Sus scrofa: one gene and its partners. The protein of the gene in region 1 interacts with the protein of each later gene in a pairwise test. Links are inferred from orthologs where the notes say so. Each region holds a gene or a part of one and is shown on either strand. Other genes may lie near its edges. The genes, in order: myomegalin, SNCA and IMMT.

What was found.
Region 2: the proteins of myomegalin (region 1) and SNCA interact in a two-hybrid assay, tested with the Homo sapiens proteins (2 studies listed by BioGRID and IntAct). The link is inferred for Sus scrofa from reciprocal best matches to the Homo sapiens genes PDE4DIP and SNCA.
Region 3: the proteins of myomegalin (region 1) and IMMT interact in a two-hybrid assay, tested with the Homo sapiens proteins (2 studies listed by BioGRID and IntAct, with this or other methods). The link is inferred for Sus scrofa from reciprocal best matches to the Homo sapiens genes PDE4DIP and IMMT.

Annotation. Positions count from the first base shown.
Region 1 is NC_010446.5:100,720,493-100,724,142, forward strand, and holds part of myomegalin, read right to left. Parts: intron 1,596-3,650; coding exon 1,458-1,595; intron 739-1,457; coding exon 619-738; intron 392-618; coding exon 299-391; intron 174-298; coding exon 1-173. UniProt on the Homo sapiens protein: Functions as an anchor sequestering components of the cAMP-dependent pathway to Golgi and/or centrosomes.
Region 2 is NC_010450.4:129,246,509-129,250,661, reverse strand, and holds the start of SNCA (alpha-synuclein), read right to left. Parts: upstream 2,939-4,153; 5' UTR 2,861-2,938; exon of another isoform or gene 2,737-2,860; intron 2,104-2,736; exon of another isoform or gene 1,376-2,103; intron 1,259-1,375; exon of another isoform or gene 1,237-1,258; intron 888-1,236; exon of another isoform or gene 564-887; intron 487-563; exon of another isoform or gene 394-486; intron 255-393; 5' UTR 230-254; coding exon 109-229; intron 1-108. UniProt on the Homo sapiens protein: Neuronal protein that plays several roles in synaptic activity such as regulation of synaptic vesicle trafficking and subsequent neurotransmitter release.
Region 3 is NC_010445.4:58,630,004-58,632,982, reverse strand, and holds the end of IMMT (MICOS complex subunit MIC60), read right to left. Parts: intron 2,664-2,979; coding exon 2,534-2,663; intron 1,568-2,533; coding exon 954-1,567; 3' UTR 646-953; downstream 1-645. UniProt on the Homo sapiens protein: Component of the MICOS complex, a large protein complex of the mitochondrial inner membrane that plays crucial roles in the maintenance of crista junctions, inner membrane architecture, and formation of contact sites to the outer membrane.

The DNA of each region.
Region 1 (3,650 bases):
TCCTCTGCCGCCGCCTCTACAAATCTCACACAGCGTTTGGCATCAGTCAGCTGCCGTTCTTTTTGTCGTACCACCCTCTGAAGCTTCTGGATCTCAAGCTGGCTGCAGAATAAAGCACTCTGAAGATCAAGCAGAGCCACCTGTTGCTGAGCTGGGGAAGTACCCTCAGAGGTCTGAAAAGAGAGTGGAAATCATTATCACAAGGAGGGCAAGCACTGAGCAGCCGAGAAGACCAGCAAAATCAAGACTATGACTGACAGTTGGGTTGCCCCTCCTGTCCTCCGTGACCATCACATACATGCAGTTGTCCAAGCTGGCTCTGGTGCAGCATTTCTCGAAGCTTTGCCATTGTTTCGTTTTGACCTTCAATCACCTGGTACAACTCCTCAGTCTGAAAATGAGAGAGGGAGTACCAAACATATTAGCCAACTAAATAAACATTCCATTATCTCATCTGTATAGATTTTAGCATCAAGACTACTCCAAAATACCCATTCAGATGACACTATGATTTTTCTGTTAGTCTGACAATATCCATTTCTATAAATTACAGAATTCTTTCTACTTTGATGGGAAAAAAATGTTTCCTCATAGGTCCTTGATGGCCAAACATTTTACCTCGCTTTCCCTGCTTTTCAGAGTTTCCTTGAAGCTTTGAATTGTACTATCTTGCTTCTGAGATGACTGCTGAGCAGACTTTAGTTCACAGCTCATTTCATTCAGTTTTTCTTGAAGAATCTGAATTCAGCAAAGAAAAGCAATTTCTTAGGTCAATGATTTCGTTTAACCTCCAATACAACTAATTCTCAAGTCCTTCTTCAATCCCAGGTTTAAAGGATTTCTCAGGGAATATTACCTTGTTATTTTTTCCCCAATATAGTAACCATTCTAGTCCTAAGTTAATCAGCAAGAGAAAGGAGCGGGAAATATGAACTACTTCCTTCAACACTCTCTTGCTTCAATTCTCACGCACTGTGCTTTCTCTATACTGGCAGCCATACTGGACTCTTGTCCACACAAGTCACTGTGGATCTTTTACATAAAGACCAAGGAGCCACTACAGGACAGGACACAACAAGGGCACACCAGGCCAGGAGTGCAGCATCCCATATTATGGGAATTTTCTTCTAAGCAGATGTTAAAAATCTATGGGCTATAAAGGGGTGAGAAGTTAAACTAAAATCAAAAGCATAAACCTTCTGTCTCAGTGCCTTAATACAGTTTAAAAAAAAATGCATTTAGGCCCAAAAGGCACCAGAAGTTCTGATCTGTGCAGAACAGACTAAAATCTTGATAAGAGATAAAGAAAGAAGTACACTTTTAATCATATATTCCACAGAGCACCAGGCATACAGTCTCCATCTTCCAGGTCCTACTCAGAGAGATTAACAGACTCAGCTAGAGCCAGTCACATTCTCAGGAAACCCTGTGATCCAAGGGCATGGTACCAATCATACCTTGTTGGTGGCCTCAGTTTGCTGGATTTTTTCCTGGAGTTCTGCCAAATGGGAATCAGATACAGACTGCTGAGTTATAGCAGTCTCATCTGAATTCAGCTTTTGTTGTTTGAGTAACTCTTCAGTCATGGTCACAGGCTAGAAGCAGCAGCAAGACAAGTAAGCTGAGTTAAATGTAGCCAACCATACATTTTAATTTTAATCTTCAAATATCTTAGGCATCTTTGGCCAGAGACTTTGAAAACCAGGGTTCTTGTATGGATCATGAGTATGAATTTCTGGAGACAGTCTTCTTCCTTATTGTGAGTGCTGATTTACTTCCATCCTTCCCATACTCCCTAGCTCCCCAACCTACCTTTCCCTACGAGCCTGCACAAACACTATTCAGTTAAAGCAAATTATTCAGAGATTAGAAAGAAGGACTTTTAAAAAATATTTACTTTATCCTATTTTCAGTCAGGCAATTCAAAGGATCAAACTTATACTGTGCATAAGAGAGAAAAAGCTACAGTTCAACTATTTTTCTTACAAACATGCCTATTCACATTACTGGAAAAATGGGTAGATTTTGAATATGGACATACATTAGATAATAGTAGTTTATCAATACTAAATGTCCTAAATTTGGTGATTGTACTGTATTTATGTAAGAGATGGCCTTGTCTTTAGAAAATACATGCTTATTGAGTGTAAAGACGCATAGCATCTGCACCTAATTCTCAAATAGTTCAGGGATTTTTAAAAAAGAGGGTCTAGACAGTGGGAGTGATAAGGCAAATGTAGCAAAATATTAGCAACTGGTGAAACTGGGTAAATATTAGCAATTGGTGAGTCTAGGAGTTCCTGTACTTCATTTATGACATTACTAAGTCTGGAATTATTTCAAAATACAAAGTAAAAAAATAAAAACAAATTTAAAAACCTATGGTGGTCTGAGAAGGAAGTATGTTTTATAAGAATATGAATTCACCAAAAAGATTCAGGAGAGAGAAAAAAAACCACATATATTTGGGAGATCAATCAGACAAAGATAAACTTATTGAACTGTACCTAATATTCATTATGAGCTAAGATACAAAAATAAAACTTGAGCAATTCACTGTGGCATTAAATCCCATCTCCTCTCTCCCTGCTCTGCCCCTCTCCGCCCCTACCCCTATTAGGAACAATACAAATTCCTTAGGAAGAGAAAAAAGGCAATTGCTGTTCATTTTTTCTTTACCTTATACATTCAAATTCTCTGATTACCACCTTCCAGGCAGTGGGGTTACAGCTTACCCTAAATCTCTTCCTGCCAGAACTGGAAGTATAAAGATTTTAGGAAAAAAAAAAAATAAAAAAGAAGAAAAAAAAATCTTTTCTATTTTTCCAGTGCTGTTTATCATTTTCTAAAAACATCTATGAAGTTCCCTAATATGCAAAGCACTGTGGGAACAGGACTGTGGAGCTACATAATAAAAGAACAAGGAAATATAAGACAGTGACAAGACATATGTTGTAAAATAGGGAAGTATGACAGTGTCTATTAAATTATTCTAAATGGGTAGATCTGTGGAAGGTCTCTATCAGGCAGCATTTAAGTGGAGATCTACACATCTACATGATAAGAAGCCAGCTCTGCAAAGATCAATAGAAATAGTCTAGGTAGAGGAACAGCTAATGGAAAAGACCTAGGGCAGCTATGACCTGGGAAAGAGAAAGGCCTAAGTGGTTTGAGAAGCACTTTCCAATAGAAATAAGTGAGCCATATATGCAACTTAAAATTTTCTAGTATCTTTCCTGACTAAAGTAAAAATAAACAGGTAAACTTAATTTCAATAAAACACTTTATTTGACCTAATATATCTAAAATATTATCATACATTCTTTCTATACTAAGTCTTTAAAATTAGGAGTATACTTCACACTCACAGCGTATTTCAGTTTGGACTACCCGCACTTCAGGTATGAGATGAAACAGCCACACAAAACTAGTGGGCAGCCTTGCTGGACAGCACAGGACTAGAGCATAAGGGGCAAAGGGGATGGTAATAGACAATGAGTTAGAGAGGAAGACAGGGGCCAGATCAGATGTGCTTCTGTATACCAGAGATAATGAAGGTGGATTTCATTCTCATTGAAATGAAAATGGACTGCAGTGTTTGTAACAGAGAAGAAATCAATCATATTTAAATTTAAAAAAGATCACTCTAG
Region 2 (4,153 bases), on another chromosome or scaffold:
TTTGACAAGTGAAGCTGCAAAACTGAGAAATACCAGCATTTAAGGCATCAATCACCCTAACCCACCAGTCATAAATAAATTTCAAATTGACATCTAGGGCTTACCTACCTACATAGAGCACACCCTCTTTTGTCTTTCCCGCTGCTTCTGCCACACCCTGTTTGGTTTTTTCAGCAGCAGCCACGACTCCCTCCTTGGCTTTTGAAAGTCCTTTCATGAATACATCCATGGCTAATGAATTCCTTTACACCACACTGGAGAACACAAAATACACTTTGAGAACTTTGGGGTAAAACAAAACGAAATTAGAACCACCCAAGGTAAAAATCACTGAAAGATCAGTAGACTCCCCCGCCCCCCCCCAAAAAAAATGCAGGACTCTTGTAGGTGTACCTCTGTTTCAACCACTGGACAAAGCAGCCTTTTTTTAGCTTTTGCATTAAAAATTTAGCATCTCCCATCCATCTTGTTTGGTGGAAGTCTAGCCTCCTAAACATGGATTGGGATGAATCATCTGAGTTGTTCTCACCGCATTCCAAGTGGAGTTACATGAAAGGACTTACCCCCTCCCCCCTTTCAATTTCCCAGGGTCCAAACGATGAAGGTGTTAAGTTAGAAGTGCGTTTAGAAGACAGATCACAGGAAACGGAAAAAGGAGCTGGAGGAGGGGGGGTCAGAGATACTCAAAATAAATCCCCCAAACAGCTAACAGGTTGATCAGGAAGAGGGGTGGGAAGAGAACCACTCACTCTGGGTGTGGCTGAACCCCAGGCCAACTGCAAGCCCACCTGCAGTGGCTCTCACCCACTGGACGCTGTACCCCACCTTCAGCTGTCTACCCTGAGCAGGCAAGCAGGAGCGTTCACACCTGCAGGCAGTCTCCGGATGCGCGCCAGCTGCCAGAGGTGGAGTTAGCCCGCTGAACCCGCCACCCACCCGGCGCCCAGCACCTGTTAACCCCTTCCCACCTGTTGACTTGCTCTCTCTGCGCTTCCATTTAAAGGCTTGCCCAATACAGCTTGCTTACTTTACAGAGAGAACAGAGAGGGTGGGCTGGGGGATTTAAGGAAAGTAAGAAATAAAAGTTGAATAGTTATAATCCTTCGAGCATCCTCGACTTTCCCAAAGGAAAAGCGTATCCCGGAGAATCCAGACCGCTCAGCCTTTGAGGACGAGAAGAGAGGTAAGCCGAGTCAATTTACTTTCCTCAAGCTCACCAAAGGGGTCAGTGCCCACCTCTAAGAGAGACTCGACTATGGCAGGTCCTCACCGCAGCACTAACCCCCCCCCCCCCCCAGGCGCCGCAATGACTCTTCTCCCACCAGGTTTTCTCCAAGATTTCCCAAGCTGCCCACTTAGATTCACAGGTACTTACCTGATTCCCTTGGCTCCTGAGAACTCCGATCCTCCCCGCACCCACTTAAAAAATTTTAAAAACAATTCCTAAATATTATTTAAATGGGAGGGAGGAGGATAGGAGCGCACAGGAAGGGTGGAGGCGGCACCAGGAGAGGGATGGCCCTCAGCGGAGGCGGCTGTCGGCACAACCCTGGGGGGAGAGGCTGGGGGCGTGGGAGGGAACCCGCGAACCTGTCGTCGAATCGCCACTCCCCGTCCCCCGCACGAGAGGATTCCAGGCAGAAGAAGGGAGGAAGGGAAGGCGGCGAAAGAGCGCCAAGGCTGCCAAAGGCAAGGCGCGGTCCCCGGGTCTGCTCCAAAGCCAGCACACACCTCACCCCCACGTCGCTGCGCTCTGTCTCTCGCCCCCTCTCCTGGGTCCCCTTCTAGTGGTCTCGGTCCTTCTCCTCGTCTTCCTCCTCCTTCTCCTCCGCTCCCCGCCCCCGCAGCGGATTTGTCAGCGCCGCTCCCCGCCCCGCTCCCTGCGCGCGTTGCTTTCCCCGCCGCGTGCACTTCACTCCTCTTCTCGGATGGGGGTGGTGGGAGGCTGTACCTCCAACGCCAGCCGCCCGCCTGGGCTTGGGAGACTGGAAGGTGGGGTGTTGGGCGGTTCACCTCAAGTTCAGGGGCGCCCGGGCTCTGGCGGCGATCCGGAGCTCTGAGGCTTGGGCTGATGTCTGATGTCTGTTTCTCTCTCCCCATCCCCCCTCCTTCCCAGTCTCCGCCTTTCCCCCCGGTTTTTCCTGCGGACCCCCACGTCATGAGCCAGCCCGGGGAAGTGGGGTCTGAGGGCTCTACCACCAAAATAGCGCCAGTCTTTCGGGGAGCTGCTAAAGGAGACAGGTAGCTTCGGAAGGTACCCGCATCAGGACCAAGCGCAGGTTTCCCTCGCATCACTGAAATTGGATGAAGGGTCCTTAGGACACAATGTTAACGAAGCTTTTGTTTAACTATTCTCCGGATTTAACGTTTGTTCTTAACCTCTCCTGAGCCCGAAGTGGTCCGGCAGGTGGAGAGGCGACTAGTAAGGATGAGTTACAGGTTGAGGAGGCAGGAGGAGGCTCGTCAAATCCTCTTCCCACCCCACTATCACCATTTTCTTTCCACCAATCAGCGGCTGCCAGACGCTGATTTTTCCCATCAGTGGATCAAGGAATAAATATTCCCCAGCCGTCGAAACCCAGCGGCTGTAAGGCGTTTTGTTCTCAGAATGGGATTTACTTTCCAGATTCCTGTTCCTGGATGGAAGAGATAAATCCAGAGTGACTGAGTCTCCTGAACCGTCATATCCAATTTCATGGGCCCCTTCTGAAAAGAGAGATTCCACATACCACTCACCTTTCCGACTACTGATTCACGTTGTCCTCGGGGCTGACAGGCTACCCCATCCCACACACAGACACACAGACATACACATGCACGAGCTTCAAGACAATTTTTGCATTGCTTGACACAGTTTCACCTTTCAGAGCTGGAGGGAAAACAGCTGTTCCTGGATCACACCGGAATGGAGAACCAAGCTCCTCCCCCTAACAGACTGCCTCTGCTTGCTTTGCCTGGAATAGGAGGATGCTTTTAGAACTGGAAGGGGAAAAAACAGGTCTTTGCAGATTTTTTTTTTTTTTTTTGCTTGTCTTGTGTTTATTTGTGTGTGTGTGGGGGGGAATTTCTCTGATCCTTGGACTCACATTCTGGAATGTGAGTAAAAAGTAATTTAAATCTACAAAAACAACAGTTTGAAACCCAAAGAGATGGGAAGCAAGTATATATATTGCTTAACCTACTCCTTGCACTGATGGTCGGCCCTTTTAAAAAGTAGGCTTTCTAAAAACGCTCCTATTTTGTTTCCTGGGGAACTTGGAAGGAAACTTGGAAGTTGGTTTGCTTTTTGGCTTTGAGAGCCAATACAAGTTATGTTCAGTTTTCTCTTGTAAAGGGAGAGGAACCAAGATGATCCCTCTCTTTTCAACTTTTTATTATGGGAAATGTTCAAACATACAAGAATGGAGAGAATAGGAATTCCTGTTGTGGCTCAGCAGTGACAAACCCAACTAGTATCCGTGGGGATGCGGGTTCCATCCCCAGCCTCACTTAATGGGTTCAGGATCCTGCATTGCCATGAGCTGCAGTGTGGGTCAGGGATAGGGCTGGGATCTGGTGTTGCTGTGGCTGTAGTAGTAGTATAGGCCAGTAGCTACAGGTCCAGCCACCCCTGGCCTGGGAACTTCCATATACTGCGGGTGCACCCCTAAAAAGCAAAACAAAAACAAAAATAGAATAAAGGACTCTCCATGGAATATCACCCAGCTTCCACTGTTTTCTTTCTTCTTTTTTTTTTTTTTTGTTGTTGTTGTTGTTGTTATTGTTGTTGTTGCTATTTCTTGGGCCGCTCCCGTGGCATATGGAGGTTCCCAGGCTAGGGGTTGAATCGGAGCTGTAGCCACCGGCCTACGCCAGAGCCACAGCAACGCGGGATCCGAGCCGCGTCTGCAACCTACACCACAGCTCACGGCAACGCAGGATCGTTAACCCACTGAGCAAGGGCAGGGACCGAACCTGCAACCTCATGGTTCCTAGTCGGATTCGTTAACCACTGCGCCACGACGGGAACTCCTTCCATTGTTTTCTAATGCAGTCAACCACGTGCATCTGCATTCTTGTCTATTCCCTATATTTATCACTACTCCTTCCCCCAATTTTTACTAAATCCCAAGAATTATATATGTCTTTTCATCTGTAAATATTTAACCCTGCA
Region 3 (2,979 bases), on another chromosome or scaffold:
TTTATGGGTAGAGAAGGGCTGACACAGTGTTATCATAAGTAGAAAGGGGAAGCGGTGGCTCCAGAAACTGTTTCCTGTGTACATGCACAGAAGTGTGTCTGGCTGAATGGGTCCCAACATAAAATACAACTTCTTCCTGTGGTAGCAGTCAAAAAAGTTTGGGATACATAGTACTCCTGGTGCCTTTGAAATCACTAGAATGGTGCATGTACAGCTGTAAATGCATTGGCATTTTGGTTTGTACATAACTATTGAGTTTGACTGGGAGGAATCAGTTCACCACAACCAGCCAAGAACAGGCCTAGAGTATTTCTGGGGCCTAGTCCCCAGCCTGGAAACCAACTGCCCATAAGTTCCTACTTCTGCTGTTGCTGCTTCTCCCAATCTCCAATTTCCTACAATACAGATTTTTAGGGGTGGTACTGGAGCTGCAGCTGCTAGCCTACAACACAGCCACAGCAATTTGGGATCCTAGCTGTGTCTGCAACCTACACCACAGCTCATAGCAGTGCTGGATCTTTAACCCACTGAGTGAGGCCAGGGATCGAACCTGTGTCCCCATGGATGCTAATCAGATTCGTTTCCTCTGCCACCACAGGAACTCCCAGAAGTTGCATTTTTTGAAAAGGGAAAAGCTACAAAAAGTTTTCACCTTTCTGTTTTTATTCAGTTTGCTCCAAGGGCAAAATCAATAGTAATAGTGATCACAAACATCATTTTGATTGGCTCGCAAGCCTGATCAGTAAAACCTGAAAAACAGAAAATGTTACACAAGTTGCAAATAAAGTACTCCTGGAGTTGACTGACATGATAGCAAGAGGAAATAATACAAATGCGACAGGCGTGAACACAGAGAACAGTACTTGTAACCTCACTTGTAGGCCCTGTTGCAAACCCGTCACATATTACTCATTTCCTCTGACCTGAAGTGTGACTGTGAGACCTCCTAGCCCTCACTCTTGCTGCACTTGGGTGGTTCCTATGCCTACGGCGCTGGCGTATGCCGTCAGGATTTCCACTATCTGCTTAGTTTCTAGGGTCATTCGGGCCTCCTTCAGCCAGTCCTGGGCCACGCGTCTGGACTCCCCTTTCAGCTGATTGACAAACTTAGCTGCCAGCTCCAGGTCACCATGCTCAATGCAATAGGAGGCATAGGCCAGTAATTTAAATGTGCTGGTATCCTCAGGGCAGAGCTCTGCCGGTGGCTTCAGCTGCTGAGGTGGGAACAGGAGCAGGGACTGTAAGTAGGAGAGGAAGTACTGGTATAAGCTATTTCTGGTCTCATCAATCATGGCTACTCTTCGGGCCAGTTTCTGGACGGCATAGAAACGGACTCTAAGGGTCTCTTCACTATACACGCCTCGGGTCAGGGACTCTGGAGGGAGAGCTGCGGTTAGAGCCTGGGTAAATTCAGAATCGGAGCAGCTGGCTCTGACGGCCTCGACCGCGCTCCCCAGGGGAACAGTGGGCAGATCTGGGGACGCCGTCTTCATGCTGTACTTTAATGCCTCCACCGAGAGCCAGAGTTGGTGGGCTTTTCTGGCCTCCTCTTCAGCTACTGCATGACCTGTTGGGGGGAAAAAAAGCAAAGACTTTTTCTCCACCTGACCACACAACCGTCTCATATATCCAGAGAACTGATATGCCTTCAACAAGCTAAATAAAGAGAAAGGTGGAGCCGGAGACGGCCTCTTTCTTCCAAGCCCATCCCACCACTACTTGTGATGCGTTTTTCCTAGCAGACCTCTTCACATGAGGCGACAGGGCTTGACATAATCTGATGAGGACTTATTTTAACTAAAACCATGGACAAAGCTGGGAGGATGTGTGCACAAGCACAGCTGAGTCTCCCTTCCCTCTTCTTGTGACATTTAAGACAACAGATACCAGATGTATTTATCTTTAGAAATATTTGAGAAAGAAAGGATAAACGAGGCTAAGACATAATAACTAAGGCCATCAGAAACTTCATGGATAGGAATGGAAGACGACTGGATCTGGACATTTTATGGGTACTTAGCTTACTCTTACACTCATCTGCCAAAAACAATTCCATCACATCCCAAAGAAACCCATTTCATTGACATCTTCACTATAAGGACGTTTTACACTTTCAACAGGGCAGAGAGGCCCCTGTAGCTACCCTCCAGATAAGCCTCCAACAGCAGGGCTGGAGACAAGACAAGAGCCTGGAGGACAAGCATGCAGCACACCGCAGTTCTGCTCCACTCAGGGCACGTGAGACATAACCAGAGTGTTGGGTAAACTGCCTTGTAAATGGTGACCTCTTGCCTGTCACCACATAAGGGAGTAAAAACCTCAAGCTAGATTCTTTTTCATTTCTTCTCACAACTGTGTTCCAAACTTATCAAATCTGGGGCTAATTTTCCAAGAGATGAATATAGTTCAATAAGAGTGACTTGGGCCTCTTCATTCCCTAATGTCAACGATGTATATACCATGATCCTTGTAATAAGAAATCACCCTAAGAGGTGGGGCTGACTGAAACCATCTCTCAGGCCTGTGCACTTACTCTGAACAGCCTGCTCGATTCCTCTCAGTCTGGCATAGGCAGTGTTTATATCCAGAGTGAAGTTGTCGACTTGCTCTTGACTGAGCCGACGAAACTGTAATTCTTGTTCAGTGAGTTTCTCAGATAGGTCCTGAAATGATAAAAAGTGCACAGAAAAAAGGTGACGCTGCTTCAATCACTGCATGTCATTTATCGGGCCACTAAGTCTTCCAGCAGCTGATACCTTCAAAAGCAAAGAGGGCCTTTGACATCTCAAAGCAAGTGTCATGAAACTCCTACATTATGTGTAAGGTTTCAGAAATTACCTAAAGCTTATATTTGATGTATAATCTATAAATTTACAGGTGGAACCTAATATTAGAGGAAGAAGAAAAAAGTCTATTAAAGGGAGAAAGTGACAACTTTAGAAAATAATTGTATTTAATATCTTGTACTTAAGAGCTTTT